3 linked regions of the Xenopus tropicalis genome follow. The protein of the gene in region 1 interacts with the protein of each later gene in a pairwise test. Links are inferred from orthologs where the notes say so. Each region holds a gene or a part of one and is shown in the gene's direction. Other genes may lie near its edges. The genes, in order: retreg3, stap1 and abhd16a.

The links.
Region 2: the proteins of retreg3 (region 1) and stap1 interact in binary tests that used the Homo sapiens proteins (3 or more experiments, as listed by UniProt). The two-hybrid records come from large-scale screens. The link is inferred for Xenopus tropicalis from reciprocal best matches to the Homo sapiens genes RETREG3 and STAP1.
Region 3: the proteins of retreg3 (region 1) and abhd16a interact in binary tests that used the Homo sapiens proteins (3 or more experiments, as listed by UniProt). The link is inferred for Xenopus tropicalis from reciprocal best matches to the Homo sapiens genes RETREG3 and ABHD16A.

The regions. Positions count from the first base shown.
Region 1 is NC_030686.2:29,097,750-29,108,393, forward strand, and holds the start of retreg3 (reticulophagy regulator 3), read left to right. Parts: upstream 1-3,606; 5' UTR 3,607-3,786; coding exon 3,787-4,022; intron 4,023-4,243; exon of another isoform or gene 4,244-4,534; coding exon of another isoform or gene 4,535-4,548; intron 4,549-9,427; coding exon 9,428-9,534; intron 9,535-10,644. Other genes in the region: tubg1 (tubulin gamma 1), read right to left, coding at 1-129, 1,343-1,455, 3,249-3,297. UniProt on the Homo sapiens protein: Endoplasmic reticulum (ER)-anchored autophagy regulator which exists in an inactive state under basal conditions but is activated following cellular stress.
Region 2 is NC_030677.2:82,789,257-82,799,900, reverse strand, and holds the start of stap1 (signal-transducing adaptor protein 1), read left to right. Parts: upstream 1-4,516; 5' UTR 4,517-4,643; coding exon 4,644-4,754; intron 4,755-10,644. UniProt on the Homo sapiens protein: In BCR signaling, appears to function as a docking protein acting downstream of TEC and participates in a positive feedback loop by increasing the activity of TEC.
Region 3 is NC_030684.2:74,870,029-74,880,618, forward strand, and holds the start of abhd16a (protein ABHD16A), read left to right. Parts: upstream 1-3,342; 5' UTR 3,343-3,469; coding exon 3,470-3,646; intron 3,647-5,701; coding exon 5,702-5,758; intron 5,759-5,870; coding exon 5,871-5,937; intron 5,938-7,404; coding exon 7,405-7,491; intron 7,492-7,893; coding exon 7,894-7,979; intron 7,980-10,590. UniProt on the Homo sapiens protein: Phosphatidylserine (PS) lipase that mediates the hydrolysis of phosphatidylserine to generate lysophosphatidylserine (LPS). LPS constitutes a class of signaling lipids that regulates immunological and neurological processes.

The DNA.
Region 1 (10,644 bases):
TCCATGTTCAGACAGATAAATGTTCTCAGGGTTGTACAGGTTGGCATATGGAGAATTAAGTATTGAGTGGATGACCCTCGGTTCTAAGTCCAGAAGAACAGCTCTAGGAATGTAATGCTCATCATCAGCCTACAAAACAAAAAATAAAGTCAAATGAAAGCCAGTGCTTCTGCCATTTTTAGTTCACAGTTTAGTATCTACGGAGCTGCTGGGTAGGGAATAAGCACAGAACAGCAAGGCACTGTTGCTATGCATTTTTACAAATACAGAAGACGTATATCACACACACACAGCAAAAAAAAATTTCTTATATACACAGTCAGTGGCAAAAAGCAATTGCTTCTTTTTGGGTTCCTAAGCACATAGAATCAATCATTAAAATGGGAAGTGAACACTTGGCAAAATAGACTGGATGCGTAGCGAATGATGAACAATGTATAGTGCGGTGTCAGCACTACATAATGGCTAACAAATACAATATGACCAAAGTGATCAGGCTAATTCCAGTACCGAAACAAAGTTGTCTAGTTTATATTTCATGTATAACCACGATTGGGTTCAAGAGATTATCAGAACACATAATACAGAAACTTTGCACTAAGGAGAATTTATTAGGTTGTTGCAAAACTACAACTCCCAGTTTACCCACACAGACCTTTAACATTGATATTCCAACTTCTGAACTACAACCCCCATATGTTCTGCAAGATGTATGCTCTAAGAATGTGTGACTGGAATATGTTATAACATTTTATTCATAGTTGTTAACTAGATAAAAGTTACCTTTAAGGTGAACATCCCTTTAGAAGATGAAGCAGATGTGCCAAAAGTGCCTGGTTCTTTCTTTGCTGCTACAGAATTTTTTTATTTTTTTTTACTTGCTCGTGGGATTTGCTTCCACCCACGGGAGCATTAGTAAGGATAGGAATTATATTTAAAGAATAAGTAAACCTTTTTTTTCTATGAGTAAAATTACTCTAAACAGCCTCCAGAATTACTTACCTTTGTCCCAGCATTCTCTCTGACCTGTTTCCTCAGTCAGAAGGTATACTTTTTGGTTGCTTCCTTGTGCAGAGTGATGCCCCGCCCCCACTTCCTGTTCAGTTCTCTCTTCAATTCGACAAGGTTGTTGGAGTGGAGATCCTTCTGCGCATGCCTGGAGGCAGCAGGAGCCAGTCTGTGCATTAGCCGTTTTTTGAATGCTGGGACAAAGGTAATTCTGGGGGCTGTTTAGAATAATTTTACTCATAGAAAAAAAAAGGTTTACTTACTCTTTAAGGACTGGCTTGCAGGCAGCATTTCATTCAAACAATTGATTTTAGCAACGTTGTATGATGCTCACCTGATAAAAGAATACATCTTTCCTGTCGGTACCTTCAGTTGCAAACTCTTCCACAATACCTTCAGGGCTGATGCCATGTTCTGCGCACAGCTGCTTCCAGAACTCAAATCCAACTGACAAGAACAAACAAAACAAGAAATTGTTAAGAACCAAAAATATGTGAATTGTTAATTAGACAAACATAAGGCAGTTTTTACATGTGAACATGTTATATATATAAAAAAAAACAGCGTTACAAGAACCAGCTTGTTTACATAATCTCTTTATATAATGTCTTATACATGACACATGCTGGATGGATCCTATTGTTGGTACTTCTGCGAGTTTAACAAGCATTTGAGATGCAGGTTTGAGCACACCTAAGGGTGAAGACAAACTGAGCTACTAGTAGCAGCTACTTTTCACGGCTAATAGACTCCAGAAAATACCCTGCCATAGACAGTACTGAGAATTGCCTTTGCTAAAACACATGTAGAGACAATTATCAATATATGATCAGCATTGTCTATTTTAGTAGCCATGACAAGTACCGGCTACTAGTAGCTGTGTCTCTTCACCTTAAGGGCAGGGGTACACGGGGAGATTAGTCGCACCGCGACAAATCTCTGTTGTTGCGGGCGACTAATCTCCCCGTAATGCCATCCCACCGGCTAGAATGGAAATCGCCAGTGGGATGGCATACGTGTCGCTGCGATGTCCCGCAGTCGCCCGAAGTTGTCTTCAGAGGAAACTTCATCCCACTGGCGATTTACATTTACGCCCGCGACTAATCTCCCCGTGTACCCCTGCCCTAAAAAGCATCAGCTAATAAATTCCATTAAATTCTGCCTAGCTGAAGCACAGCCACTGTCTCTGACAGACTATAATGCCACATATAGCGCATCAGGTGACGCACAGCCGCTGTCTCTGACAGGCTATAATGCCACATATAGCGCATCAGGTGACGCACAGCCGCTGTCTCTGACAGGCTATAATGCCACATATAGCGCATCAGGTGATGCACAGCCGCTGTCTCTGACAGGCTATAATGCCACATATAGCGCATCAGGTGACGCACAGCCGCTGTCTCTGATGACAAGCTATAATGCCACATATAGCGCATCAGGTGACGCACAGCCGCTGTCTGACAGGCTATAATGCCACATATAGCGCATCAGGTGACGCACTAGCCGCTGTCTGACAGGCTATAATGCCACATATAGCGCATCAGGTGACGCACAGCCGCTGTCTGACAGGCTATAATGCCACATATAGCGCATCAGGTGACGCACAGCCGCTGTCTGACAGGCTATAATGCCACATATAGCGCATCAGGTGACGCACAGCCGCTGTCTGACAGGCTATAATGCCACATATAGCGCATCAGGTGACGCACAGCCGCTGTCTGACAGGCTATAATGCCACATATAGCGCATCAGGTGACGCACAGCCGCTGTCTGACAGGCTATAATGCCACATATAGCGCATCAGGTGACGCACAGCCGCTGTCTGACAGGCTATAATGCCACATATAGCGCATCAGGTGAGGCACAGCCGCTGTCTGACAGGCTATAATGCCACATATAGCGCATCAGGTGAGGCACAGCCGCTGTCTGACAGGCTATAATGCCACATATAGCGCATCAGGTGAGGCACAGCCGCTGTCTCTGACAGACTATAACGCCACATATAGCGCATCAGGTGATGCACAGACACTCTTTCTGTACAGATCATAATACCACATGTTCCTTTAACTGATATTATAAAACAAATATAAATAAATATATAAAACCCTCTCACACACACAATAACGCCAGGCCTGTATAGCCAATACTGCAACCCACCTCCTATGCACATAGAAGCGCAAGGATGCATTAACATGACAGATGGAAGGTACCATACTAAACTATAAATCTAATCAGCTTACTCTGGTTCCCACACTGGCCGAGCTGCAGAGTGATGATCTCCCGCGGCATGATGCAGCCTGAGAGGAACACTGCTTCCCGCCTCCCCTCCCGCTCTCACACTAGCGAGCGGCGCAGACGCAATTAGGCGCAGCCAGCAGCCATGTCTGAGGCGGAGACAAACAGTAAAGTAGTGGGGGGGAAAAAAGTCTTCTTGACGTCACCTAACACCGAGTAAAGTAAAGTAATAAAGGGCGTGGCCTTTGCGACTGGTAATTGGGCCAAAGCGAATGACGTAATGGCCCAGAACATAAACAACAAAGGCGGATATGGTAAATGACAGGTGACGGCTGTGCGCAGGCGCAGTAGGCGGAGAGGTGAGACAGACAGGGGCAGCCTCTGAGTACTTGGCATTTGGCCGCGGTCAGCCCCTGTTCTCGGCGCGGTGCTGGGCGCTAGGTGGCACCTGTTCCCCCTCATACAACTCTTATTTTTATTTGTTAGGCAGCAACTGGTTGATGTCAATGGCGGCATCTTGGTGAGAGCCGGGAGAGGCAGAAGATGGCGCAAAGAGTGGGGGAGGAGGAACAGGGAGCCTCCGGGCTGAGGAGAAGGAGAAGCGGAGCGCGGTGTGTGGAGGCCAGGGAGAGAGACGAGCAGGTCCGGGAGGTGCAGGAGATGTTACAGCGGGGCCTGAGCAGCTACGAGCCGGTGCTGAGCTACGTGCAGGCCGTACTGGTGTGGGAGAGACCCCGGCACAGCGCGCTGCTCCATCTGGCACTCAATGCCGCTTTCTGGTGAGATGTGGCCCCTAATGTAGCGCCTGGGGGCGGGGCTAGTGTGGGAACCCCTCTATAAGGAACAGCCGCAACGTTCTTGGCTCTGTCATGTGACTATAGCATAGAATGCAGGTGTCCTGTATCCGCCATACCCTTCATCCGGCCGCAAATCTGTGTGTGTTTACTTGCATTCTAGGAATCTACAGTTCGTGTTTAGCCAAGCCCGGGCTCCCTGTCACCTCTCAGCCACAGAATGTTGCTTTGTCAGCCATTACTTGCTGGGAGTTGTAGTTGAACATTAGCAGGGATCTTGGGCAGGGGGCTCTGACCTTCACATGTGTTTATAATTCTCTCGGATTTCCTGTCAACTGCTGCAAGGTTTTTATTTCTTATAAGGGATCCTGTCCATGTGGCAGTGATAGAAATGTGTTAGTGCAGGGTGAGCTGTTGGGCACTGGACTGAAAACCATATTATTACACGTTTCCCAAGGTGTTTGATATCTGAGAACTGTGTAAATCTGCAAGGGCCCATGAGTTCTCAGTTGTGAGTATGTGTAACTGTATTTGTCAATATGGCTTCCCTTGGGGAGGGGTAACAGTCGGCAACATTGCTCTCGGTGCTCTCACTCGATCAAACCCTGGACAAATGGCCTGTGACACGTGAACGTGCTGACCACCATTGCTGCCCTCCAGCTGAGAAGACTTTCAGTCAAAATATCTCTTACTGCCATTCACCTCTTGTAATGTTCATAATGAAAAGGCAGATGGGTATTTGAGCAACGCTGTTTGGCACCCAAAGGCAGCAGGGAGCAAAATGCTTAGCGTGCCACAAGTGCAAGGGTATTTTGCATCTATGCTTGATTGATCTATGAAAAAGAACTACTGGCAGTCTGGGTACCCCATGTGCAAATGAGATTTGTAGTAGAATGGAAGGTTCAACTTCTAAGTTGTTTCCAGAAATTAGGACTTTACAATTGCTTTGTTTTTCATTTATTTATATGCAGTTTTCCTTTCCTTCCATTTAAAGTTTATTTTCTTCTGTTGTTTCCCAGTAGCAGTAAGCCAGGTTGCCTACTTCATAAATTGTTACCATTTGTATTACTTGTTCATACGCTAAAGCCAAAAGCATCTCGCACCTGCATCTTATTCCAAGTGGTTGTTCCTCCCTTCACTGGGACAACAGCCTTTACCCTCTGCTCCTCAAGGAAGACTTTTCGCTAAGGTGTTAGTACATTGTTGGTTGGATTTCCTTCCATTCAGCCACAAGAGCATTAGTGAGGTTGGGCACTGATGTTGGGGAAAAAAAAATCATGTGGTACATTCCCTGCTAGTTTTAGAAAGAATCAAGCCACATTGGGGGTTGGGTGGGCAGAATATTTTGACAGCTGCTTGACTCTCTTGTCCATTCTCAGTGTAGCTCTTTTCTTTCTATTAGTGGTAGCTGGCAATTTTCACTTACTGAGGTGCTTCTGTCCTGGGAAACGAGTGGGTGCAAAATTAAATGTTAGCCAAAATCTTAAATAAGAAAAATGGTCATTGTTACAAATCATAATTTCTGGTGTACTAGGTGAATAAAGTTGTGCTTAAAAAGGGTTCAGACGCGGCGGCGCGATTTTGCGAGTCTTTTTCGGCGATTTCCCGAAATCGCCCCCCCGCCGCGTCTGCCATCCCGCCGGCGACTTACATGTTCGCCGGTGGGATGGCAGGAGGAAGGCAACTCGGGGAGATTAGTAATCTCCCCGTGTACCAGAGCCCTTAAGGGTGAAGACACACAGAGCTAATAGTAGCAGCTACTTTTTCACGGCTACTAAACGCCAGAAAATACCCTGACAATACTGAGAGTTGCCTCTGCTAAAACACACATAGAGACAATTATCAGTATATGATCAGCATTGTCTATTTTAGTAGCCACAACAAGTAGTTGCTACTAGTAGCTCCATGTGTCTTCACCCTAACTCTCACTGACCTGGAAAGAAAAGATAAAAAAACAAATGTATTATAATATTTCCAGAGAATATTGAGCTACTTTTGAGTGGTGGAAAGCATATTCTCTTCTGAAAGAAACATGATTTTTTGGGTCAAAAAAGAGTGGTCTGTCTCCCTTTTGGATACAAATGGAGGGGTGACATGCAGATAACAGCACAAAAACACTCATTTAAGCATTTTGGCACCAAGATCTGCCCATTAAGCTAGCCATAGTTGATAAGATCTGTCTTGCAAAACAAGTGGATCTCTTCCCACGCACTGGGACAAATCAAGGGATAGTGATCAGATCTTACAACAAGAATATGGAGACCCAACAGACATCAGTGGTCTTTGCCAGGCAGGATTATTATATGGCTTTACTGCTCCATGTGTGTTATTCCATAGTATTAGAAACAGTGACGGGTAGACAAGGGTGTTTTGACTCCTGCTGCTCTCCATCAATATATTTATATAGCTGTACTTATATACACAGAGCTCTACATTTTAACCCTTCTCTGCCAGCAGTCTTTTTTTTTAACATGGCAAGGCATGCATGGATCAGACGGGAAAAGTCTATGTAGTAGACACTTTGGTCTTTATATACGGGCACTGTAGATTTAATGCAACCAGATCACTGGTGAAATTCCATACTGGAAAGCTGTTAAACAAAAAAACTACAAAAACATAAAAAATACAACTAAACAATGAAGACCAAATGCAAATTGTCATGCCTACATCCTACAAAAATGAAAATTTGAAGGAGAAGTACCTCCTTGGTGCCTATATAGAAAAATAAAAATGTGACCCCCTTGTCTGCCACTGGACACTTGCAGCTAAATCCAGCAAAGAATGGGAGGGGTTATCCCTGTATCTCTGCAGCTGGAATACATGCATAGGATGTAAAGTGTATGTGCTAGTCAGGTAGAGGAGGAGGTGGTTGGAGAGATGTGCCTAGGGCAGCACTGGATATACATTTAATGCCAGTAGATCATTCTATAATCCATGAATTTGGTAATTAATCCACTTTAATCTATTCATCAGTGATAAACAGGGAAATATCGAAAAAAAATTTTTTGCTGAGGATAATACTTCCCTTTTACAAAGTACTGGGAAACCTCTAGAATATGCAGTACAGTTTTGGTTTCCAGTGATCAAAGTCCAAAGAAAAACAACTTAAACTACTGCTGAAGAGTAAGGGCTCTGGTACACGGGGAGATTAGTCGCCCGCGGCAAAACTCCCTGCTCGCGGGCGACTAATCTCCCCGAGTTGCCTTCCCCCTGCCATCCCACCGGCGAACATGTAAGTCGCCGGCGGGATGGCAGACGCGGCGGCGCGATTTCGCGCAAATCGCCGAAAAAGACTCGCAAGGCTTTTTCGGCGATTTCCCGAAATCGCCCCGCCGCGTCTGCCATCCCGCCGGCGACTTACATGTTCGCCGGTGGGATGGCAGGGGGAAGGCAACTCAGGGAGATTAGTCGCCCGGGAGCAGGGAGTTTTGCCGCGGGCGACTAATCTCCACGTGTACCAGAGCCCTAAGCGGGGCCTTGTTTGTGAAGAAGGACTGAACAGATTGAAGTCGTTTACATTGGAGGTGTTTAATAGGGATCTAATGTCTATGTAAAACTATATATTGGGAGCAATTCATAAAATCTCTGTTTCACCATTAGATCTTTCCAGAAGACACAAGATTCATAGGATAAGTGTTTTACATATTTAAACCTTTAGCAGGGTTTCTAAATTCCATGTAGTTAATGCATTATGGTTTTCGCTTAAACAAAGAGGCCATTTATTGAGATACAAAGAGTGCAGAGAAGTGGAATTAAAGGGCACCTATCACCCTAGATTTGCTTTTCCCATCAGAGGTGCAGGCTAATAGAACCCGCACTTGGGTTGGGGGGGACAATAGTTTTTTTGTTTTTTTTTTTAAAAATCAGTCCCTGCTGGTGCTAGGCCAGGAGCTCCCGGTGCGAGAGGCCATGTTATTTAGTGCACATGTGCATGATAAGTGAGACACCCTGCTCACTCCTTATGCACAAAGCAGTGGATGCGACTCGCCCACCTGGATCACACGCATGTGCATTATGAGTGAGTTGTGGCACTTCCTTGATATGGGCATGCAAGTGCCACAATATGGCTACCCCAAACCTGGAGCTCCCTCCCAGTGCGGGCAGCCTAACACTGTAAGCGGCTATTTTTTGGTGGGGAAACAGTTTTAGGGCGATGGGTGCCCTTTACGGTTTTAAAGATGTTTGTGATGAATCCCTGTTAGAGATACACATATAAGAGAACTATTCAGTCTGGTACCTTTTTCACAGAGGGCATCTGCTTAGAATAAAATAAAAGAGGTTTTATCTTAAGGTATGAAAAGGGTTTTTTTTAAGCGAGGGCTGAGAATCTGTGAAAAATAAGCAGCTGTACTTGCCAGAAATGTTAAATATTTTAAAGAAAACCCATGAGTTCTTTTTTAATAAGTGAGAAGATACATGGCTACTAGTGTGACTGCTGTGATTGCCAGGTTAGAGTCTGGCAGAAATGCTTTGGATCAACTGAAATGGAGGGGAGGTGAAAGAAATCAAGTAAATGCCCCACAGAGAGAGACTGGGGCTGTATATGTAGTGTATGTATATGTAGTGTATGTATATGTAGTGCTGACACTGTAAGTGATGAGGTGGCAGAGACAGAGGTGATGTGGATACTGTTTCAAGGAGATGAGGTGGCAGTAGGAAACAGTAAACATTCTGTTTCATGGAGGAAACGTGATTGGTAAAAAGCAAAATATATAACTTCATAGTTGGGATAAAGCGGCAGTTGACGCTGAAGTATTTTGCAAAAGTAAGGGGGCACCAGTAGAAGACTTTGCAGAGGGCATTTGATCTTGTGCAAAGGGTTAACTATCATATACATAAGGAGTCATCAACCTTGTATTTCAGACATATATGGTGGGTCTGACAGATCTAAGGTCGCATTGGAAGAACAACTTCTGTTGTAATTTGGGGGATTCAATTCATTTTCTTTCCTTTTTGAACTTAATGCATGTGCCAGTTATGCACTGCCATAACCTTGCCAGAAATATTGCTAAAGAGCTGGGCCTAAAGCAAAGTGATATTCACCGGGGGTGCTAGAGTTTTTGCAACCCCCACTAAATAATAATCTCTAATCTTACAAGGGGTACTATTCCTGCCTTGCAATGCCATCAATGGCCCTTCCGATTCGCTTGGGTGTCCTGAGCATTGCATATGTCCCACAGAGTAAAAATCCGGACTGCAACTTTAAAGTTGAAATTATTATTTTCCTGTGCATGTGTGTTATCGGGACAGTTCAGATCTCTGGGACAACAGGAATAATGTGGGTGCTGCCGGAACAGTGCCCCCAGCTGATGCATTTTTCATTGTGGTGAAAATGTAAAAAGTGCAAAATAATTTGGTTATTCAACTATCTTTTTTTTATTTACTTGCAGGTTTTTTGCCCTGACCTCTCTCAGAATCATATTTTTGGTAGCATTTGGACTAATGATAATCATTTGTGCAGATCAGTGGAAGAACAAACTGTGGCCTGAACTGGGAGGTAAGGAGAATTCTTGATATTATCTTCCCTTGCTGTCACTGAAAACTTGATATACTTCTATCTATACAAGATTCCACGTGTATATATGCAACTCTTCTTTCCTATATGAGCTCTCACATACTCTTTACTGGCCAGGGCAAAACTGAAAGCAGTATTCTGCAAAGCCGTAGTTCTAATTGCAGTCTTCCAGTGAGCTTATCTTCTCACAGCAAAGCCAGCCCTGGGCTATAAAGGCTAAGATATGGATAAGTCCCCATATTTCCTGCATAAGTATCATGCAAATAAACACAGGTCTCTTGTTGGTGCTGCTTAGAAACTTTCTTTCTGATGCTTTCAGCATGATTACATACTTTATCAGAGTTATCTGTTATGAACATGAAACGCTATCGGAGCACACATATTGGTCAGGACTAAATCGAAAGCCATATGATTATGCCATTTAGCTTAACAAACAGGTCTGCTTATAGCAAATCAGCCCCTGGGCAACAAAGAAAAACTAAATACATACAGTTTTTATAATGTCCTTTCACTGGAACCAAGGTTTCCTGAAGTTTGCCACAGTACAATAGTTCTCCAACATCCATGGGGTGGTTATCATGGTTAAACCTTGATATAGACAAGATTTCAGACTTGTCTATACATACCAATTAACAAAGGGGTGACCATTCCTAAAGAATTTGGAAAGTGTTAAGGTGGCCATACACGTGGCGATCCGACGATGTTTCGTACGACCATCGGTCGCACGAAACATCGTAAGATCCGCCACACACCATTCAGGGCTGAATCGGCAGGTAAGGAGGTAGAAACAATAGGATTTCTACCTCCTTTTGCCGATTCAGCTCTGAAGGGAGAATTTTGGTCAGGCGCCTTCTATGGCGCCCGATCAAAATTTTCAAACTTGTCCGATCGGCGAGTCGTCCGATATCGGCAGCTTCCTGCGATATCGGTCGACTCGCCGACATGCCATACACGCACCGATTATCGTACGAAACGAGGTTTCGTACGATAATATCGGTGCGTGTATGGCCACCTTTAGTCTTCTTACAAGGTGAATTGTCTTTTAAGGGGACACGTTTAGTTAAGCCCATGGCATGTAAACATAGGTTAGAT
Region 2 (10,644 bases), on another chromosome or scaffold:
TCAAGCCATTTAAACGAACAGAGGGCCAATTCCAAGGGTCTCCTGCACTCTTAGCTGGAAACCGCACAGGTGCCAATACTATGGCAAACAGTCCGGGAACCACTGCCCTTAAAAATCTAAGGGCGCTATTAATATTATTTGAACTATCCTTAACTACAATTCACATTAGCCGTCCCTAACAGCTGACTATTCTGAGAGCTATAGTTATGCTAAAGCAGAAGGGTAACCATGGCCTGCTTTCATTTGCGCCATACTTATGCTCGGTGAGTTAAATGAGGTACCTGTTCCATATTTCCCAACAGTTCTGCTTTTAGCGGGAAATCTAGATGATCATAATAAAAGCCGCGGTCGCAGATTCGCGCTTAAACCTCACGCAACACCATCCAATCCCTCCTCCTAGGCTCCCGCCTTACACCTAATCCCGACAGCATCTCGCGAGAGTGTGACGTCACGAAAACACGTTTTCGCGCTCAGTGTGCTGCGGAGTAGGAAGTAGCTGCCCTGGGATCTGGGGGAAAACAAGCAACACGTGGGAGTTAGTGGTGGGAGGGGCAGGCTGGAAGCGTTTTTTCAAAACGTTATTTCCTCTACTATCCACTTCAACTTTTGTCGGGGAAAAAAAACTATGGCTAATTTAGGACAATTGATAATATATACATACTAATCTTTAGCTATCTGGCTTTTTTCCCCCGCTGTGGCTTTGTGGAGGGTTCTGTTCTCCACATCGTGCCAATACTGCTACATGTAGTTCTACACTGCCGACGCTGTGTGAATAAGAACAGATCCGCTTTTCTTAGCTTGTGTAGGAAACACCGGCTGAGAAAATCAGATAATCCGTCGTGAGTGATTAAGTTTTTAGGGTTTTTTTTATTAATTCTGGCATCAGGAATTTTTTGCACATTTTCAAAATTTAGGGACAAAAAGGGCTCACTTAGAGGAAAATAGCGGCAATCACTTTTAAATGGGGACCTGTCACCCACTCATTAAAGCTGTATAATACCTGATAATGTCACTAACGTTTGGGCAGCTTGGATTCTCTTTTAGGCTAATGCCAGACAAGGCGTAGGGCGGATATTTTTGGCAGGTACCTCTCCTGCCTTCCCCCTAGTAAGCGTTCCGTAGTCAGTGCCCCTGTGGGTGGGGGTGCCCCCTCGCAAAGGCACTGTGTATAGACACGCACACACCAGGAGAGGGAAGGTACAGGGGCGAGGTGGGCAACTCAGTCAGCTTGGCCTGCCCCAGCATCCCCGCCAGGGGTGCAGGCACATGTAGCCGAGATATGCATAAAAACACAAGAAAATGCAGTGTCTCACATTTTTATGCAGATTTCGGCTACATGTGCCTGCACCCGAGCGTATTCCATTCATTGTGGTGCAGGCACAAGTAGGAGGCGTAAGGCGGTATTTTCGCTTGCCGAAAATATTCGCCCTACACTTCGTCTGCCATCAACCTAAAGGAGACATGTACCAGTGAATTATACTCTTCTAAATATAGAAGGATTGTGCGTAAAAAAGTTGTGTTTCAGACTGATTTTTGAGAGATTTTGCCAAAACCCCACTAGTCCCGCCCATCTGTTCCACTTCCCGCTGGAGGCTCTCAGTACACTGTGCTGTAAAGGTGCCCATACACGTTAAGATTTGCGAGCGGACCTTCACCCGATATCCCCACCTACAGGTGGGCGGTATCGAGGAGCGTGTAGGCTAATTCAATCGTTTGGCCCCAGGGCAATGGGGCAGTTGGTTTGGGGACCGCATCAACGAGCCGATGCAGTCCCCGATCCGACTAGATTTTCTAACCTGCCCAATAGAGATCTGGTCGATTTCAGGCCAGATATCGGTCGGGCAGGCCTGTTGGTAGTCCCCATACACGGGCCGATTAGCTTCCAAATCGGTCTAAGGGACCGATATCGGCAGCTAGAATCGGCCCGTGCATGGGGACCTTAAGATAGAAACCAATCAGCAGCTAGGCTGACCTGATATGGAACTGAAGCCTCTCTTTGCTTGGGTGAGTGCAAGGCTGTGATTGGCTATCCCCCTCCTACTGTGCTTCTGGCTGGGACCGGTAAGAAACGCCCACCCTTCATTTGAAACAGGGACAGACAGCTGATAGGATCTATAGGGAACGCCAATAAAGGGGTCATTTTTACAGATAGGATTCATTTTTAGCCCAAAGTGAAACCTGCACCATATATTATTCACAATTGCCTACAAAATTCGTTTTTTTTCTATTTATCCAATATGTGTCCTTTAAAGCTACCCCAGAAAATCACTCAGTAAGACCGCAAGCCTGTATCCCAGTGTAGTTTAAGAACACAACAGATCATGCTGACTAAATAGTTTGAAGGAAACAAAATTTTAATAATTGATATAGTGTAAGTAAAGTTTCTGTTGCTCAACTAACATGATAGAAAAGGATTTGGGATTATTTATTAGGGTGTCCCTTTAATTGTCATTTTAATTTCCCTTTAGCTATTTGTATTAGAGGTTTCACTGATCATCAACCAGAAAATTATGGAAACTTGATACAATTTGCCAGCAGTACCTGTCAAATTTCCCGTACTGGACCCTGGGATATATATTTATTCATGTTTTCATTGAACAATTAGGGCTTGAGGAGGCCTGACCGCTCCTCCCCTGACGCGTTAAATTTATGCACGGTCGGGGAGGATGCCGGGTGAGGGCCCTTGCAAGGGGGGGGTTTAGGGGACGTGGCCGGCGGGGGCACCTGCAGGGCCCCTGGGGTGGGAGCCCCGGTGGGCCCTGCACCCCCTAGTCCGACCCTGTCCCCACTATCAGTGCCTCTGGGCAATGTACCTAATGCTGTGTGCATAAATTGTTGTTCTTGGCATAAGTGTTCCCATAATTGGACAATATTTCACTTGCATCAAAAGTAACAGTAAGTAAACCTTAAAGTCTTTACCAGTTTACCAGTCTTTGTGGTTTTTTTTTGTTAGTTTTACTAAGCACTTAAAAAAATAACTATGTATATCCAAACTCATAAATATAATTAGAGTTACAATCATCACGATTTATTCTTTCAACATTTTTGTACTTTGCATCTAAAGTGCATTTCTGCATGCAATACTAACACTTAACTCTCTAAATACTGTCACTCTCTACCAAACTTTTTATAAGTACATTAGTGAAAAAGTCTGAGACTATCATCGTATGATGTATAGAAAATGATTTTTATGCATGCTTTTGTTATACCATCAACATGTTTATACATAGCTTATAAACTGTAAGAAAGAAGCCCAGTTGGGTTTTCTTGTAGAACTGCATATTATGAGAGAGGATGTAATTTTCCAGAAAATGTCTGAAATCAGACAAGATTAAATCATTCTATATACCACTTTTGTTAAATTATACACCAGTTGTGGGAGCATATATATTCATTCTAAATGTCATGCTGATTTTTTAAAAAGAGCTAAAGAGTTGTGCGTTTTATAAGTTGTATTAAAAAAGTGGAAGAGCTGAGCCCTGGTTTAACTGACACTCCAGGTCTTCATAATACGTTGGTTAATCTTTTTATTATGTTGATAAAAGAAAGCAAAGACATCTCTTCACAGATTATTAAAAAGCTTATTTTCTTTTCTTGACCTGCCAGACAAATAAGCACTTATTTACAAAAATAGGGCAAGATGCAAACCAATTGTGGCTAAAAAAATGTGTGCACTTGCATGTGCGCTTTGATGCAAATTGAACTAAATTCTGCTGAAAGTTTAGAAAGCCTGCATGTGCTAGAAAAACATTGGCATACCAAATTAGAGGAAAACTGTCATGGGAAAACATGTTTTTTTCAAAATGCATCAGTTACTAGAGCTTTTTTTCAGCAGCTACTGAAAATAAATGAATACGCCTAATCATGAAAATTTAATGCAATCAGTGAATTCACCATTTGATAAATAGGCCTCTAACAATCCCATAGGAATGAATATAGAGTGAGGAAATTTTACTGTGGTGAGCACTAATTTTACTCTTTGATAAATCTGCAGGGAGCTTGGCATCTGCCATTTAATAAATACCATATATAACTTCAGAAGAAGTGTTTCTCCTCCATTCTAATGTCAGCACCCTCCAGCACTTGGCATTAAGCATGGTGATAATAGGCTTTTTTGTTGCTGCTCACCCAAATGATGCCCCTTTCATATAACAGAAATTGTAAAGAAGTATTATTTGCATTTATTGTTAATCCCACCCCTCCCTCTACCTCTGTCTCTTCCCCGGGGTGAGGTTCTCTACAGCTTTTACATAACAAATAGGTGTTTATATTTATTGAACAAATAAGGAAACCTGTATAAAAATATAATCTCATGCATGATTTGTGTGTTTTCCCTTGTGGGAAAATCTCATCTATTTTCCTACTGTAATGATGACAGCTAGAGTTAAACCAGCAGAACTAGTATTTATTGCTGCCTGAGGTCATTGCATAGTATGTTGTTAGAGATGGAGTTTGATCCATCTAGGTTTCCTCCCCCTTACAGAGGTGAATGGGGAGGAGTATATTAAGCAAACAGCATTTTTTGGAGAATTATTTTTACTTTACTTCCTTCTTGCAGGTACACTGCAATTACTTCCCCATAGAAGTTTCTTTGCTGTTGTATATAAGAATTAAGATAGCTAAGAGACTCTTCACAATAGAGAATGGCAAGCCCAGCTGCTGCCTCTCGGCGTATCCATCAGATTAAGTTCAATTTAACTTCACTGCCACTATACTATGAAGGTAATCTATGGATCAGACGAGCCATGAAAAAGGTAATGTGAATTTCTTTTCTTTAATACAGTTTTTACTGCTTGAAGGAACTGCTAAACATGAAAACTCACATTAATAGCACAGTCTGAACACAGAGGAAAGTGAGGTGGTTGGCAAATATAGTACCATCACAATAATGGACATTTTAGCCAAGTGGTAAAATGTATTCAGTTTAAACATTATTTAAGTGACTAGATTATGATGATTATCACAGCTTAGTAAAATATAGATGACTTTCCTAAGCTTCTCCCAGAAGTAGTTCCATATACCTGTACTTGCATGGATAGTCTGAGGTGGCAACATACTGTCATTTTAGTGTTTAGTTAAAGAGGCAGTATAACCTCTTCAATATTAGTTCAATGAATAGAGCTTGTGCTGAACATATTTTTTTGCCTATAGTTTTAAAGGAGACCAAAACTTAACAAAGAAGTAGGGTATAAATACTACACTCTATGTTTTGGGGTTCTGTACCAGTCCAAGACAAGCAGAGATGATCTGTGCCCCTGAATATGTCCACAGTAGCCTCCCACCTTCCTTACTGCTGATTCTCAATGTTGCCACATGCTCCATGGTGCTGTTAGTAACCTGAGCTTAGGGAATAACATATACTGTATTTATAGAAAATAAATGTCACAATGCAAAAATGATTAGTAATTAATTCAGATTCTCATTACATAACAGATCCAAAACCAGCTTAATTTGCATCAGTCTAATAATCAGCCCTGCAGTATCAGCCTAAATGATAGGCGAACTTCATTATCTGCTTGTTTATTTGCTTCTCTTAGCTTCTCAACAGCTGCCCAGAGCACACCATGCATGTGTGCATGACACTCCTAACAAAATCCAAAATGGTGGGCTAATGCCACAAATTTGATGGTCTGAATCCTTACTGTTACCCAGTTGGACCTTGCGATGGTCAAGACTAGCACATGCACAGTAGAGTGAGGTTGGTTATTTCACTATATTGAGCATGCACTGGTCCTGAACATTTAAAACCAAATGAACTGTGCATGCATGTGGCAAGGGACAATTGAAAAAAGATGGTCAGGTGGCACTCCCTTTGAATGCACCCTTGGCTGATGTGTAGATCTGGGGTTAAAGGTTAGCAATTATATTTACAGGGGGGGGGGGTGATGCCTAACAATTTAGCACTCCTAAGAAATATGACTTTCCTTTTGGAAAGGTGCTAAGCTTCAGTTAGCCATCCTTTCACCCAGGGCTGTATTTAACATATAGGAATCCTGAAATGCGAAACGTTATATGGAAAGTCGTTCTTCAAAAAGCTTCCAGTTACAGGAATGCCATTTCCTCTTTTCTCTGTAATAATAAAATAGTACCTTGTACATGATCCCAACTAGGTGAAACCAAGCTGCACAAATCCATTGGTGAAAAACAATCCTATTGACTTTATTTAATGTTTTAATAATTTTCAAATAGACTTGTATGGTGATCCAAAATATGGAAAGACCCCTTATCAAGAAAACTACAGGTCCCAGTTATTCTGGATAACAGGTCGCATAACTGTATTTAAGAACTACCCAACACTGCATTGTTGCAAAGTTCTAGTGCAAAAGTACATTGTTTTAGCTTCAGTAATGAAAATGCTAGCCTCTTTTAATAGGTTTAGTTATTATTGTCAGTTTCTAAGATTTGTGGTTAATGGTTATAAAATTTATAGTGTGTGTTACTGACCTGTGAATTATCTAATGCTATATTTCTGGCTTGCCTAATGAAAGATTTACAGAGATACACCTGCTACATTCTACATACTTGTTTCAGTGAACGGCGCCGCCATCTTTAACAATGGATGCCCACTCCCTTTCCCTCTTGTCTCTACTGCACATGCATCGCCCAACATCCTCCAGCATCCTCTTTGCGGTCCCCCGCTCCCCCCTGCCTCCTTCTGTGTCTCCCCCCCCCCCAGCAGCTGCATCCTTCTGTGTCTCCCCCCAGCTCACACACCAACTCGTCCAGCTCAACTCATCGCCTCCCCCCCAGCACCTGCCTGTCAGCTGCATCCTCTTGTTATGGCCCCAGCTGCCGCTGCATCCACTTTTTAAAGGCGGCGGTCGCCATGGCAACCAGACGCTAGGGGGAGCGCTCCTGCTTGTGCTCCTCTCCTCTCCCCGCTCGCCTCTTCCTCCCCCCCAGCATCTGCCTGCCGTCTGCGTCCTCTTGATATGGCCCCACCTGCTGCTGCATCCACTTTTTATAAGGGTGGCGGTCGCCATGGCAACCAGACGCTAGGGGGAGTGCTCCTGCTTGTGCACATGCGCCGCCTACAGTCCTGGTTGCAGTGTCTGTGCAGGAGCATTGCATTAAGGGAATTTTCTCTACCCAGCTCAGCGTTTTTTCTTCCTGTTTGGCTTCTGATCATCTGAACTATTGAAATATGGGGAGACTTAAGGGCACTATTGAGACAACTAAAGGTATGCCTGAATTTTGAGATTAACTCATTACTAGCCTTTCCTCCTCCTTTAAAGGAGAAGGAAAGGCTAGTAAAGAGTTCTCAAGCTGCAGGCATACCTTCAGTTGTCTCAATAGTGCCCTTAAGTCTCCCCATTTTTCACCTGTTCACCTGAAGGAAGAAATAACGCTGAGCTGTGTAAAGAAAGTTTCCATAATGCCTCACTCCTGCAAAGACATGCAGACCAAGTGAACATGCTCAGTTAGTAAGACTCTGAGTCAGCTTCCTGCTGATTGGCTCAGATCCACATTCCTAAGGGGGGGAGTGAGTTCTTAGCATTCTTGAGGGAGGGGGGAACAGGAAAGAGCAGAGAACAGAAAGCTGCGTGTCTCTGGCACAGGAATTACAGACACAACTAATCTTTTTTCAGAGAAGTCAGTGCAGCGTTTCTGTGAGTGCTTATGGCTGTATTTATATAGACCTTTCTGATAAAGCTTACTTAGTTTTTACCTTTCTTTCTCCTTTAAGCGCCTCTTCTCCAGGGTAAAGAACCCCAACTTAGACAACCTTCTATTCCCTTTATCAGCTTAATATCTTTTCTTTGGACTTTATTTCATTAATATAAGGCTTGGAGACCAAAACTGCACTGCATATTCTAGAGCAGCATTATCAGCAATGTCCCTCTAAGCTGTGTGCTCTTGCGCGCACAAATTTTGACACCAGCACACACAAGAAACTATGGTGTGCCCAAGAAATTTACCATTAAAACCCAACATTTTGTACTGCACACACTAGTTTTTCAAAAGAGTGCACATGGGAAACATTGCTTTGTAAAGTGGAAAAATGACTCCCTCCTCCCAGGAATCTATACCCCTTTTAATACAGAATAAAACTTTCAGTGCAGAAACTACTGGGAGCACAAATATAGTAACCAGGGTTAATACTATATCAAGTGATAATGCTTATATTTTACACCACTGTCTGCATTGCATTCAATTTCTGCCCTGCAAGTGACACATTCATGCAGACTTACAACACAGCACTTAACTCCTGGCTATTAATATGTAATATAAGCTACAATAGCCCAATGCTGGGACATAACTGTTCAATTAGTTTGCTTTTGAATCTGACCTGTGTGCTCACAAACTAACTAAACAGTTATATCCCATGTGGCCCCCCTAAAGTCACTGACTAACTGAGAGGTTAGAGAGCTGAAAGCAGTAAGTAGTGTTTTGGCTATTATGTAAGACATCTGTCCTCTCCAGCCTTTATAAATTAAATTTTTGCCAAACTAAGTATATTGAAAATATGCCTCCCAGTCATTAACTCCACTCCCATACTCACCAAATTGTTCCTTTTTTGCCTCTCATTCATCCCATACTCTGGCATACCTTGCCCAGGTTGATTGAGACACAGACCATTTCACTAATTCTGCCACCTCCCAGCCCCCAAATCCCACAGTCACTTTGGACAAAGGAGTACCTCTTGGTCCGCTGCTGGTGCTATCTCTTGATACCAGCTCTACTGAAACTGAGAGCATCTGCAATGTTATTAGAAACACCCAGCACATGACTGGCCCTCACCCACTTATTGAGATGGACACATTTTAGCACTAGATACCTCAACAGCCGGAACCATCAGGGAGAGGAAGCAGAAATATTAGTTATCGCTTAAACTACCCCCATGTTGTCTGACCTAAAAAGCACCTGCCTGGTTTTCAATTCATGCTGTCACTCCACTGCCACTAAAATGGGAAATAGTTCTAAAAAGGTGACATTTTTCATAAGCCTAATTCCTTACATTCCTTAGGCCAGCCCCCCTGCACTCCATTGCCCTCAAAATAGGCTCTATAGCCAGCTGCTCCAGCTGCATCAGTTACATAGTTACATAGGGTTGAAAAAAGACCATTGTCCATCAAGTTCAACCCATCCGAGTAAACCCAGCACACAACCTATACTAACCAATCTATACACTCACATACATAAACTATATGTACAACCAGTAATACTAACTGTAGATATTAGTATCACAATAGCCTTGGATATTCTGCTTGTTCAAAAACTCATCCAGGCCCCTCTTAAAGGCATTAACAGAGTCTGCCATTACCACATCACTAGGAAGGGCATTCCACAGCCTCACTGCCCACACCGTGAAAAACCACCTACGCTGCTTCAAATGGAAACTCTGTTCCTCTAATCTATAGGGGTGACCTCTGGTGCGCTGATTGTTTTTATGGGAAAAAAGAACATCCCCCAACTGCCTATAATCCCCTCTAATGTACTTGTACAGAGTAATCATGTCCCCTCGCAAGCGCCTCTTTTCCAGAGAAAACAACCCCAACCTCGACAGTCTAACCTCATAGCTTAAATCTTCCATCCCCTTTACCAGTTTAGTTGCACGTCTCTGCACTCTCTCCAGCTCATTAATATCCTTCTTAAGGACTGGAGCCCAAAACTGCACTGCATACTCAAGGTGAGGCCTTACCAGGGACCTATAAAGAGGCAAAAATATGTTCTCATCCCTTGAGTCAATGCCCTTTTTTTATACAAGACAGCACTTTATTTGCTGTAGTAGCCACAGAATGACACTGCCTGGAATTAGACAACTTGTGATCTACACAATGCAAATGCAAGTCATAGTTGTCCCTTGGCTCCAACTGCCATAAAGATCTGCCATTAATCTGCTTAAAGAAGGAGCTCCTCACTGCCAGGTCTTCCTTCCCTTTGCCTAATCTCAAGTGGTGGGGCTGCCTAGCTCCTGATGTCAAAGACGCAAGCCTCCTGAAAAATATTCTGCCTAGTGGCATAACTCGACAGGCGAAGTTCAGCCTGGCTAACAGTGACTGAGTCTACATAAGAGTCAGCCTCTTGCCCACCCTGGCTTGCCAAAGTTGCCATACCAGGTCTATCATATATTAGGGAAGCCGGTATTCCATAAGCTCAGAGTCTAGCTCAATTCCTAGGAACTTAAACTGACCCCTTTCTTCCCCATGCTCCCTGTTAAACTAGCCTTACAGAAAGATTTTTGGCCACTCAAATTTCTCACCCAATAAACGCTGATCAGATTTTTAGGCCCTTAGGCTAACAAATATAAGGGCTTATAGAAACTCAGGAGGAAATTACCCTTTCAACTGTTTTTTTAAACCTGTCGTTCTGAATTTTGAAAATATATAGGATTAGTAAACTTTCACTCCAACTGGAATATTTATTGATAAATATACAATTAATTAATATAACAGTTTAAAGGAGAAGGAAAGTCATTTTGGCATTTTACTGCCAGTAGATTTGCCACATTAGTGCCACCTAGAACACTATATTTATTCTGCAGAAAGCTTTACCATACCTGTGTAAAGAGGCCTAGAAGCTCCCTCCGTTTGTTTAAGATAGCAGCTGCCATTTTAGCTTGGTCTTAGTAGCTTCCTGCTGAAGCTCTAGCCGTTGTAGCTAAGATCACCCATTCTGATGGGAGGGGGGAGTGAGTTTTAT
Region 3 (10,590 bases), on another chromosome or scaffold:
GTCCTGTTTAGCTCAAGAAATAATAAAAATCATAGGGGGTTGTGTAATAAAAGGCACTAACTTTGCCCAGGAGTAGTAACCTATAGCAACCAATCAGCAAGTAGAATTTACTGGTCACCTGTTTAAAAGCAAACATCTTATTTATTGCTATGGGTTACTGATACTGGGCAAATGTAGTGCCTTTTAGTACTTCTTTATTCTGCAGAAGTCCTATTTATTTAACTCATGCTAATAAAAAAGGTACAGTACCCCTTCATTTTTGACTGATTTGCTTTTTGACAATATGATACTCATTTTTTCATCATTTGGTTGTCCAAACACAGATTAATGAACATTAATACATCTGCCCCTTTATGATTCAAAATCTTTAGATGTCCAATATGACTGGAAAGTTTTAATTAGTTGAGCAGTCTTAGAACAGATGGAGAAATAAAGACCTCTCCCTCCCACATCTCCAGCACTGGTCATTGGGACTCTTCCCCATACTGGCTAGTATGTTTGGGGTCAGATATATCTGATGTATAACTTATCCCTGGGACACAAGGAATGGAAACTACCTTAGGGGGTTGACTGGAATAGAAAGTCTAGGATACAGTTACTCATACGTGACATTGTCAACCCCCAATCTCAGAGGAAAAAGCATGGTGTTATTGATAATACTTGAGGTGATGTTGCATACATACTTTCCTTGGAGGAGGGCCAATACGGTAAAGGTTTTTCATGAATGTTGGCCTCTCCTATGCCAAAGTCAGCAAGGTTTCAAAAATGTGGAAAGGAGGAGTTTCCGTACAACAGTTGAAAGATGGCAGGTATGGGGAAAAGTAATTGTGGTAAGATCCTTTAAGTCTTTACATACATGAGCCATATCTTTAATTGTGCCCAGTTCCACAGCCAAGATGAGTGTTTTGGGTTGTCAAAGTCTGGCATCACCACCCCATATGCACTACATACTGCAGTGTGATATAGTATATCCACAGGGCTCAAATCCAAGACCTCCAGCATATATTGGGGCAGTGAGTTTTTCCCAGGAAAATTTGGGACTCATTCACTGAGATTAAGGGCATGACCATTTGAATATAACTAAATATGGATTTGAGGAGAATATAAAATAATTTTGGGGAGGAAAATAATTTGTAAATGATAAATCTTCCGCAAAGTGGGAGTCGCAACCATTTCCGCAGCACTATTTCCACTTTATGGTGCAGAGTTAGAGCCTCTCTTAAAGGAACAGTAACACCAAAAAATGAAAGAGCTTTAAAGTAATAAAAATATAATGCACTGTTGCCCTGCGCTGGTAAAACTGGGTCCTCCGGGAGAAAAGCGCATTACAAATGTTTGTTGTTGTAAAACTGGTGTGTTTGCTACAGTAACACTACTATAATTTATATAATAAGCTGCTGTGTAGCCAGGGGGGCAGCCATTCAAGCTGGAAAAAAGGAGAAAAGGCACAGGTTACATAGCAGATAACAGATAAGCTCTGGAGAATACAATAGTGTTTTATCTGTTATCTACTATGTGCCTTTTCTCCTTTGAATGGCTGCCCCCATGGCTACATAGCAGCTTATTTATATAAATTATAGTAGACTTTCTGAAGTAAACACACAACTTTTACCAGTGCAGGGCAGCAGCACATTATATTTTAGTTACTTTTATACACTTTCATTTTTTGGTGTTACTGTTCCTTTAACCCCCTTGGCAACAAGCCAAGGGTGCTGTCACATCTTTCATGTGATGCAACCTACTCCTAAACAGCAGACACAACAGGACCACGTCTGCTGTTTGGAAGGCCCTATTCAGCCCCCTGCTGTAAAGACTTTGCAATCCTAAATGCAGAAAATTTCAATATTTTTAGATGATTTTTAGAAGTATCATAAATCCAATGACTTTAGCATAGCTTTTTTAGCTTGATAGTTTGGAGTATAACAATATCTTGACCCATTTTGAATGTCAGAATGTGCACTTTTCAAAAATATATGGGTTTTAGGGGTACTGCCTGTGTATTATGTGTTATAAGAACCCCCTTCTTATAACACACAATACACAGGCAGTAGAAGATGAATTAGCAGCTGAGAAAATCCACATGCACTCTTTTAAATTTAGGGTCACCATGCCACATACTATGGTAAGTCTATGCACATTGAGCATCAAACTGTTCAATAGACCCTTGACGTTTATATTTAGGATGTTTTATCTTTATACGTAAGAAACTGTGCAATATAAATTTGGCAAATTGCAATATTTTTTAGGCAATTTTCAGATATGTCATAAAATCCACTGCCTTTAGCAATGCCTCGCAGCTTGGTAGTTTCAAGTTTTAAAAAACTCTTTATTCATTTTGGATTTGTCAGAATGTGTACTTTCTGAAAATATATGAGGTCCACATACTCTTAGGGGCTTTTAGAAAATGTAAAATGCAGCAGCCAAATTGTTAACCATGAAATTTCTTACGTATAATTTTCATTTTTGAATGCCTCCAAACCACACACATTTGCCATCAAATTCTTAGTATAAACAAAAGCTCTAAGGCATTTTTCAAAAATTTCATTAAAACCGCTAACTTTAGCAAAGCTTTGCAGTTTGATAGTGTGGAGTACATAGAGAATCCCACATGGGTAAGTACCCCATTTCATTTCTTTTTTGGAAAAAAAGGTAGGTTGGTGTAGAGAAAGTATGCTATTCTTAGATGAATAATCCGGTTTCCATGCCATCATCTCTAATGATAAAGGTGGCTGACCATACAAAAGTAAGGAAAGTACAGAAGGAAAGCGCAAACCACTTGGAGGTGCCAAATGTTACTATGGTAGGAACAGCTACCCACTGCCTTTACCGAAAATGACTAAGGTTGCCAGTCAGCTTTGGGCCTTATGCCCCTGGCTCCCAGAACATTCAACCCTGGTACTATATGTGCTGGAGAACCATGTGCTCCCTCTCCTGGTACAAACTAGGTACAGGAACTGGCCCCACCATCCCTGAGCCAAATAACTCCCACACGGGTAATAGTTAACATGCTGGTACTTCTGTCTTGAGAAGTAAGAAAATAATGTATTTGCGTCCCCTACAGTCACACCATGAAAAATGAGTAGAGAATTCGTACAGAATACAATACGTACGACCAACCAATAAAAGTAAATGCTTTTACAAGCCTGGAACAAGTATTAACTTATCAGATACAATATCTAGCATGATATAGAAGCTAGTACATTTCCTTGCTTCCTATCTCTAAGCGACACTAATAAAAGCCCCGCCTTCTCAAGGACACGCCTTTGCATGTATTTTGTCGAATCGGCTTCCCTTCCTTATTAGTGGAGTCCCGCCCATCTGTCGCTGGACTTTACCGTTTCACAGGCTTCTTGTCAGCTGATTGGACGAGCGCCTAGAAGCACAACATATTCATTCTCCTGCCGGTGACCCTCATAACGTGAGCTGCTAGTTGCTTGAGGGAGTCACATAAAGTGCTGATATCGCTGGAATGGCGGCTGCTGGGGGGCCGGTGGGGGATGGCTTAATTCGGAGATGTGTAAGGGGAATGGCCCTGCTGTATCTGTGTGTGAAGGGCCCACGGCTCTACCGAGTGTATCGGCAAAACGGAAGGACGGCGGCGATTAGAGGACGGGGCCAGGAGGAGGAAGAGCCCGGGGTTTCCTGGGTGAGGGAATATGAGATGTATTCCTCCATGTTGTTTAGGTAGACCTTTCAATAGGCAGGGCCACTTTAAATGAGAGTTGACATTGGGCCCATTACCTAACAATGAGCCTGTATAATGTTACGGTTCAGTTGTATCCTGCGCATACTGTATGTACCAGGTAGGGGCGCATGTGTACTTATTTCATTGGACTAATATAGAAACTTAGAAAGGTAGCGCAGTATTCAGGCACAGCCAGTCCCTGCAGAGCTGTCACCCAAACCATGTCATGTGGGAGATAATGAGCTGCTGCAGGCCTTTTTAACACCTTATTTCATTTTGTCATTTAGGGTCATATTTATTGAAGCGCGTAAAAGGATTTACGCCGTTTTTTCGTCGTTAAACGCGGTGTAAACCTAAACTTGCGTCATTAATTCCGACGTTCTTCAACCGCGTCTTTTCCCGCCGTTATTCGCCATCGCGGAAAATAGCCTGGCGATCTTATTCATTTCCGCGCGTACGCCAGCGGCGTAAGCAAATTTTATGCCGGTGGCGTACGCAAATTTTACGCTCATTTCAATGGGTGTAATTATCACGTTTTATATAAATTAAATTAATAACGCCGTTTTTAACCAACCAATGAAAACAACTTGCGGAAACTTTAATAAATAACGCCGTTTTTAACCAACCTATAAATGAAAACAATAGCTTGAAATAGAACACGCATGCGCTAAATTACATTCACGCTTTCGCTGTCATTTCCGTAAGAAAGAACTCCGTATACACTGCGGTTTTACGCAATGCAGAAATAGCAGCCAGTACCTAAGTACGCTGAATTTTACACCGTGAACGGCGGCGTAATTTTATGCGTTATAACGCCGTTTTTTAAATATGCCCCTTAGTGTGAAGAGATATTCAGGCCTAAAATAACGAAGGACTGGATCATTATCTCCCTCGTGATCTAGGGTTGGCTGACAGCTCTGGGTTTGGAGATGTGGTATTAGGATATTAAAGGGCTGGTTCACATTTAAGTTAACTTTTAATGTGTTATAAAATAGCCAGTTCCATGCATCTTTTCAGTTGGTCTTCATTTTTTATTGTTTATAGTTTCCGAAATTATGTACCACCTTCTGCCTCTTTCCAGCTTTCAAATGGGGCTCTCTGAGGCTACAATTTTATTTTTATCACTGCTTTTATTACTTATCTTTCTACTCAGCCCCTCTGATATTCATATAGCAGTCACTCTCTCAAACCACTCCCTGGTTACTAAGGTAAATTGGACCCTAGTAACCAGACAACTGCTGAAATTTCAAACTGGAGAGCTGTGGAACAAAAAGTAAAATAATAAAAAAAAACTAGCAGTAATAAAAAATGAAGACCAGTTGCAAGTTGTCTCAGAATAACACTATATATAAAACCAATATATATGCCTTATATATTGCTAGGATGCAAGGCTGATGGCCAGTTAGAGTGAAATTAGGCTAAAAAATTATTTGCTATTTACAACCTATTTTGATGTTATTTAAAGATTCATAATAAATTTCATTTGTAGTCATCTGCCCCAATGGGCTACTTGCATGGACCTTTACTTTGGGCTTGTTCTGTTACGGTATCCTTAGGAGGGAGGATAGGAACCGATTTGTACCTTGCAAATCCTCCATTTTTAATGGCCAGTTTAAAATACAAGGTTATACACATGGAGAATAGTCATTTGCATGGACACTGGGATGGCTCTAGTGACCACATAATACTTACAGTTTCAAGCTGAAGAGGAGTAGAATAGTTTGTATAGTAGAATAGGGTTTGTATAAAACTTTCATCATTACAAGTACTCTGTTTTACATTTAAAATATTTAACCTTTTAAAGAGGATATTAGTGTAGACCTGCAGTAAGCATCACTTTAGAGCTAAATGTTAGCTTTGGCTGGTTGTGTTCAAATCTGACTTTTAGTTATGTATTTGTAATAAATATTTTACTTGGCTGGGTTTAAGAATAAAGTTGAGATTATATTTTGCATTATTTTTTACTGTTAATAGCATATTGTCTTGTATTCCTTACCAATTATTGTTTCTTTAAAGGAGTCTTTTTATCAGCCACGAGCACTGGAGAAACACACAGATAGCATTTTAGCTTGGGTACGTATGGAATTCCTATTGCTGTAGTTGGTTATTGATAGGACTAGATAAAAACACTTTTACATTAAAATAATGGTATTTTATGCTGTTGGGTTTTTTCTATCCCCATTAGGTTTCAGTCTTGTGGACCATTTCCTATTATTCATCCCCTCTTGCTATCTGCTATATGTACAGAAAAGGTATGGAATCTTGTCAACATGCAATCAATACAGTAATTAATATAGTTTGTGTTGTGTTCGCTGCCATAAAGGTGAAAAATTATCCACAAACTTTCTTAGCGTACACATATGGAAGCTGTTATTTGATGATGTGATTATACAATTTGTAATGATGGTGTTACTATTTTGCTGCAGATTTCTACAGAACTGCCACAGACAAAAAAGGTGTTGACTAGCAAAATTGCACAGCTCTTGGTTTTGCTTGGGTATACTGGGACACCATAATGCTTTGGCAGTTATCAGTAATGTGATTTAAATGGGTACCTGGGGTCCAGTGTATTGGTGTTAAATACATTTTTATTTTTTTTTTATTTTTTTTAAAAAGTAGGAAAAAATAATTATTCCATACTGGATACCCCATAATTCTCCAGATAAACAACAACAACAACACAGCAGTGCAACACACAGAATATTTATTGGCTACAGATCAAATTAAAAAAATTCAGTAAAAAATGCATACCATACCAAATGACCATAGTCACTTCCTAGTGCCACATGGCCCCCATGCTCCGCCCTACTTATACGTTTCCCACCATTGGGGGCTTCATCAGAGATATAGTCTGATATAGTGCAAAATGCATGCATATGGAAACAGAGCATAGGGGCCATGAGGCACTAGCAAATATCTTTGGTTTCTTTGGTATTGTAACCAATAAATGTTCTGTGTGTAGCACTGCTATATTAGCTGCTTTAGCGCTAAATTACATACACTGGATGTCTTTTTTTCTGTCTTTAAGTTGATTAATAATGACAGCCAGTTATCCATCCAACAGCTTTTCAAACCATCCTTCAAACAACTAACCATTAACTCTTTCATTGTACAGTCACTGTGAGCTCAGACTGATGTGCATAATGTCCCAAAGTTAATGCAATGTGACATGGAGTTTTTCAGGGGCTTAACCTTTCAGTTGCTGAAAAAAATCCCTACTACAGACTAACATTGCAATTACCTGACAATTGGTTATATCAGCAATTGTCAGGAGATTGTTGCTTATAAAGGGTGCACAGCTACTTTTTCGAACAACTGTCACCTAATAAGCACTGGCAGAAGTGCCTGACTTGTGATTATAGTGTAAGTAAGTGGGGTGTTGTTTTGGGTGCTTTAACACTGTATTTATGCTTGTTTGTATGACTTTCCCAATATTTTCCTTCTTAATACTAATTTTAACCTATTCAGTTGTCTTAACTACTGATTATGCACTCATTTTTTTAATTCTATTGGTACTGCTTTCTTGACATGCCATCTCTTATGTTCAGCTCTTCTGCCTCCTTTTCTGTACTTCCAGTCTTCTGAAAAAACATGTGTATGTAGAATGTTATTTAACTTTTTTGTTTAATTTTTGTTATTTCCCTTTACAAAAATGCCTGATGTAGTTAGATCTGTGCTTTTGATATCTCTGTGCTGACAATCATCTTTTTGGGTTTCAGGTTATCTGAACATGTCCCGATTGGTTCCCCTTGGACAATATGGTCTGACATTTCTACTTCTGCTGGCAGGGGTTGTGTGCTTGAGAGGTAAGGAAAACTATAGGACAAAGCATGATTAAAAAACAGAGCTACGTGTACTTACTATTTTACACACTGCTTTATAAGAATGCTGATCCTGCATTAGCAATTAAATTCTTCCCTTTAATGATGTATAAGACACTTATAGCTAGTTATATATAGATTGGTGGGGTTTAGCAACTTCATTGCTAAGCCTCATGTTTAGTAGTTTTACTAAATTATGACAGTGGATCTTAGTTTGATTTTATCTGCTGATGACCTCTTTATGAGTATGCAGTTCAGATGTGATCTGGCCATCAACATAACTGGACTGATTACGCATAAGGTTCTCATGTGGCCAAATGGCCCCAGTCAGATGATGTGGAAAAATGCAACTTATCACTTTTTACATTGTACTGTCTTTCCCTGCAGGTATTGGCAGATGGAGCAACCCTCATTATATTCAGTTTATTTACATTTTAGAGAGAACCAAGATAGAAAACAACCCAGAGAACAAAGTAAGGTGCTAGAGCATGCCTGTGTTGCATAGGTGCTTTTTCTGCCTGTATGCCATTTAATTACAACTGTAATTTCCAAGTTCCAGGTGCTGTGTTTTTTTAAATATGTGATACATAAGTATTATGGTGTGTGTGATGGGTGGAGACTGCAACTAAAAAAATGGGTTTGCAGTATTAACATAAGTGCCTTGATATTTGAGTAAGCATATCTGAGAGATTATGGTTTATTGTTACATATTTTTAAGAGGGAGTGGCTAATTCCTAAACCTCATTTCAACATAACTTTTTTCATACATTCTCTCTTGTTCTGCCTATGAATTGTGCTTATTAGGTGACAGTTGTTTGAAAAAGCAGTTGTGCAGCTTTTCATGCAACAATGTCCTGACAAGTGCTGTTGGGGGATTTTTCAGCAACTGAAATATTAAGCCCCTGAAAAAGCTCCATGTCACATTGCAAAGATGAAGCAAGGCAGGCATTATACGTTCACTAAGTATGCTAAGATACCAGGAGGGAGCTTCTAGGGCTCTTTACTCGGGTACAGTGGCTTGCAAAAGTATTCGGCCCCCTTGAAATTTTTTACATTTTGTCACATTACAGCCACAAACATGAATCAAATTTATTGGAATTCCACGTGAAAGACCAATACAAAGTGGTGTACACGTGAGAAGTGGAACGAAAATCATACATGATTCCAAACATTTTTTACAAATAAATAACTGCAAAGTGGGGTGTGCGTAATTATTCAGCCCCCTTTGGTCTGAGTGCAGTCAGTTGCCCATAGACATTGCCTGATGAGTGCTAATGACAGTACAAATACAGCTGCTCTGTGACGGCCTCAGAGGTTGTCTAAGAGAATATTGGGAGCAACAACACCATGAAGTCCAAAGAACACACCAGACAGGTCAGGGATAAAGTTATTGAGAAATTTAAAGCAGGCTTAGGCTACAAAAAGATTTCCAAAGCCTTGAACATCCCACGGAGCACTGTTCAAGCGATCATTTAGAAATGAAAGGAGTATGGCACAACTGCAAACCTACCAAGACAAGGCCGTCCACCTAAACTCACAGGCCGAACAAGGAGAGCGTTGATCAGAAATGCAGCCAAGAGGCCCATGGTGACTCTGGACGAGCTGCAGAGATCTACAGCTCAGGTGGGGGAATCTGTCCATAGGACAACTATTAGTCGTGTACTGCACAAAGTTGGCCTTTTATGGAAGAGTGGCAAGAAGAAAGCCATTGTTAACTGAAAACCATAAGAAGTCCCGTTTGCAGTTTGCCACAAGCCATGTGGGGGACACAGTAAACATGTGGAAGAAGGTGCTCTGGTCAGATGAGACCAAAATGGAACTTTTTGGCCAAAATGCAAAACACTATGTGTGGCGGAAAACTAACACTGCACATCACTCTGAACACACCATCCCCACTGTCACATATGGTGGTGGCAGCATCATGATCTGGGGGTGCTTCTCTTCAGCAGGGACAGGGAAGCTGGTCAGAGTTGATGGGAAGATGGATGGAGCCAAATACAGGGCAATCTTGGAAGAAAACCTCTTGGAGTCTGCAAAAGACTTGAGACTGGGGCGGAGGTTCACTTTCCAGCAGGACAACGACCCTAAACATAAAGCCAGGGCAACAATGGAATGGTTTAAAACAAAACATATCCATGTGTTAGAATGGCCCAGTCACAGTCCAGATCTAAATCCAATCGAGAATCTGTGGCAAGATCTGAAAACTGCTGTTCACAAACGTTGTCCATCTAATCTGACTGAGCTGGAGCTGTTTTGCAAAGAAGAATGGGCAAGGATTTCAGTCTCTAGATGTGCAAAGCTGGTAGAGACATACCCTAAAAGACTGGCAGCTGTAATTGCAGCAAAAGGTGGTTCTACAAAGTATTGACTCAGGGGGCTGAATAATTACGCACACCCCACTTTGCAGTTATTTATTTGTAAAAAATGTTTGGAATCGTATGATTTTCGTTCCACTTCTTACGTGTACACCACTTTGTATTGGTCTTTCACGTGGAATTCCAATAAAATTGATTCATGTTTGTGGCTGTAATGTGACAAAATGTGGAAAAGTTCAAGGGGGCCAAATACTTTTGAAAGCCACTGTATGTTAAAGCTTTCTGCAGAATAAATATAGCATTCTAGGTGGCTCTAATGTGGCTAATCTATTGGCAGTAAAATGCCGAAATGACTTTCCTTCTCCTTTTAATCAAGTAATTCAGAAATGTAGAACATGTTTATTTTTTCTTTGTAATAATAAAACAGTAACTTGTACTGTACTTGATTCCAACTAAGATAAAAATAATTCTTATTGAAGGCAAAACAATCCTGTTAAATTCATTTAATGTTTAAATTACCTTTTAGTAGATTTAAAGGACAATGAAAGGTTAATATAAATTAAAGTAAGTCTAAAGGCATTCTTTTTAAGTACTTACTGCATATCTAAATTCCCAGATCCCTGCTTGCTTCTCTGAGATATGGTGCTGGCAGGCTACAGCAGTGTGAAGACTACAGTGAGATCACTGAAATATCTCTGTCCTTCCTGTAGGCTGCCAGCGGCAGCCTTCCTATTCTCTGAGCATGTGTGTAACTTGATCCTGTCTGCTG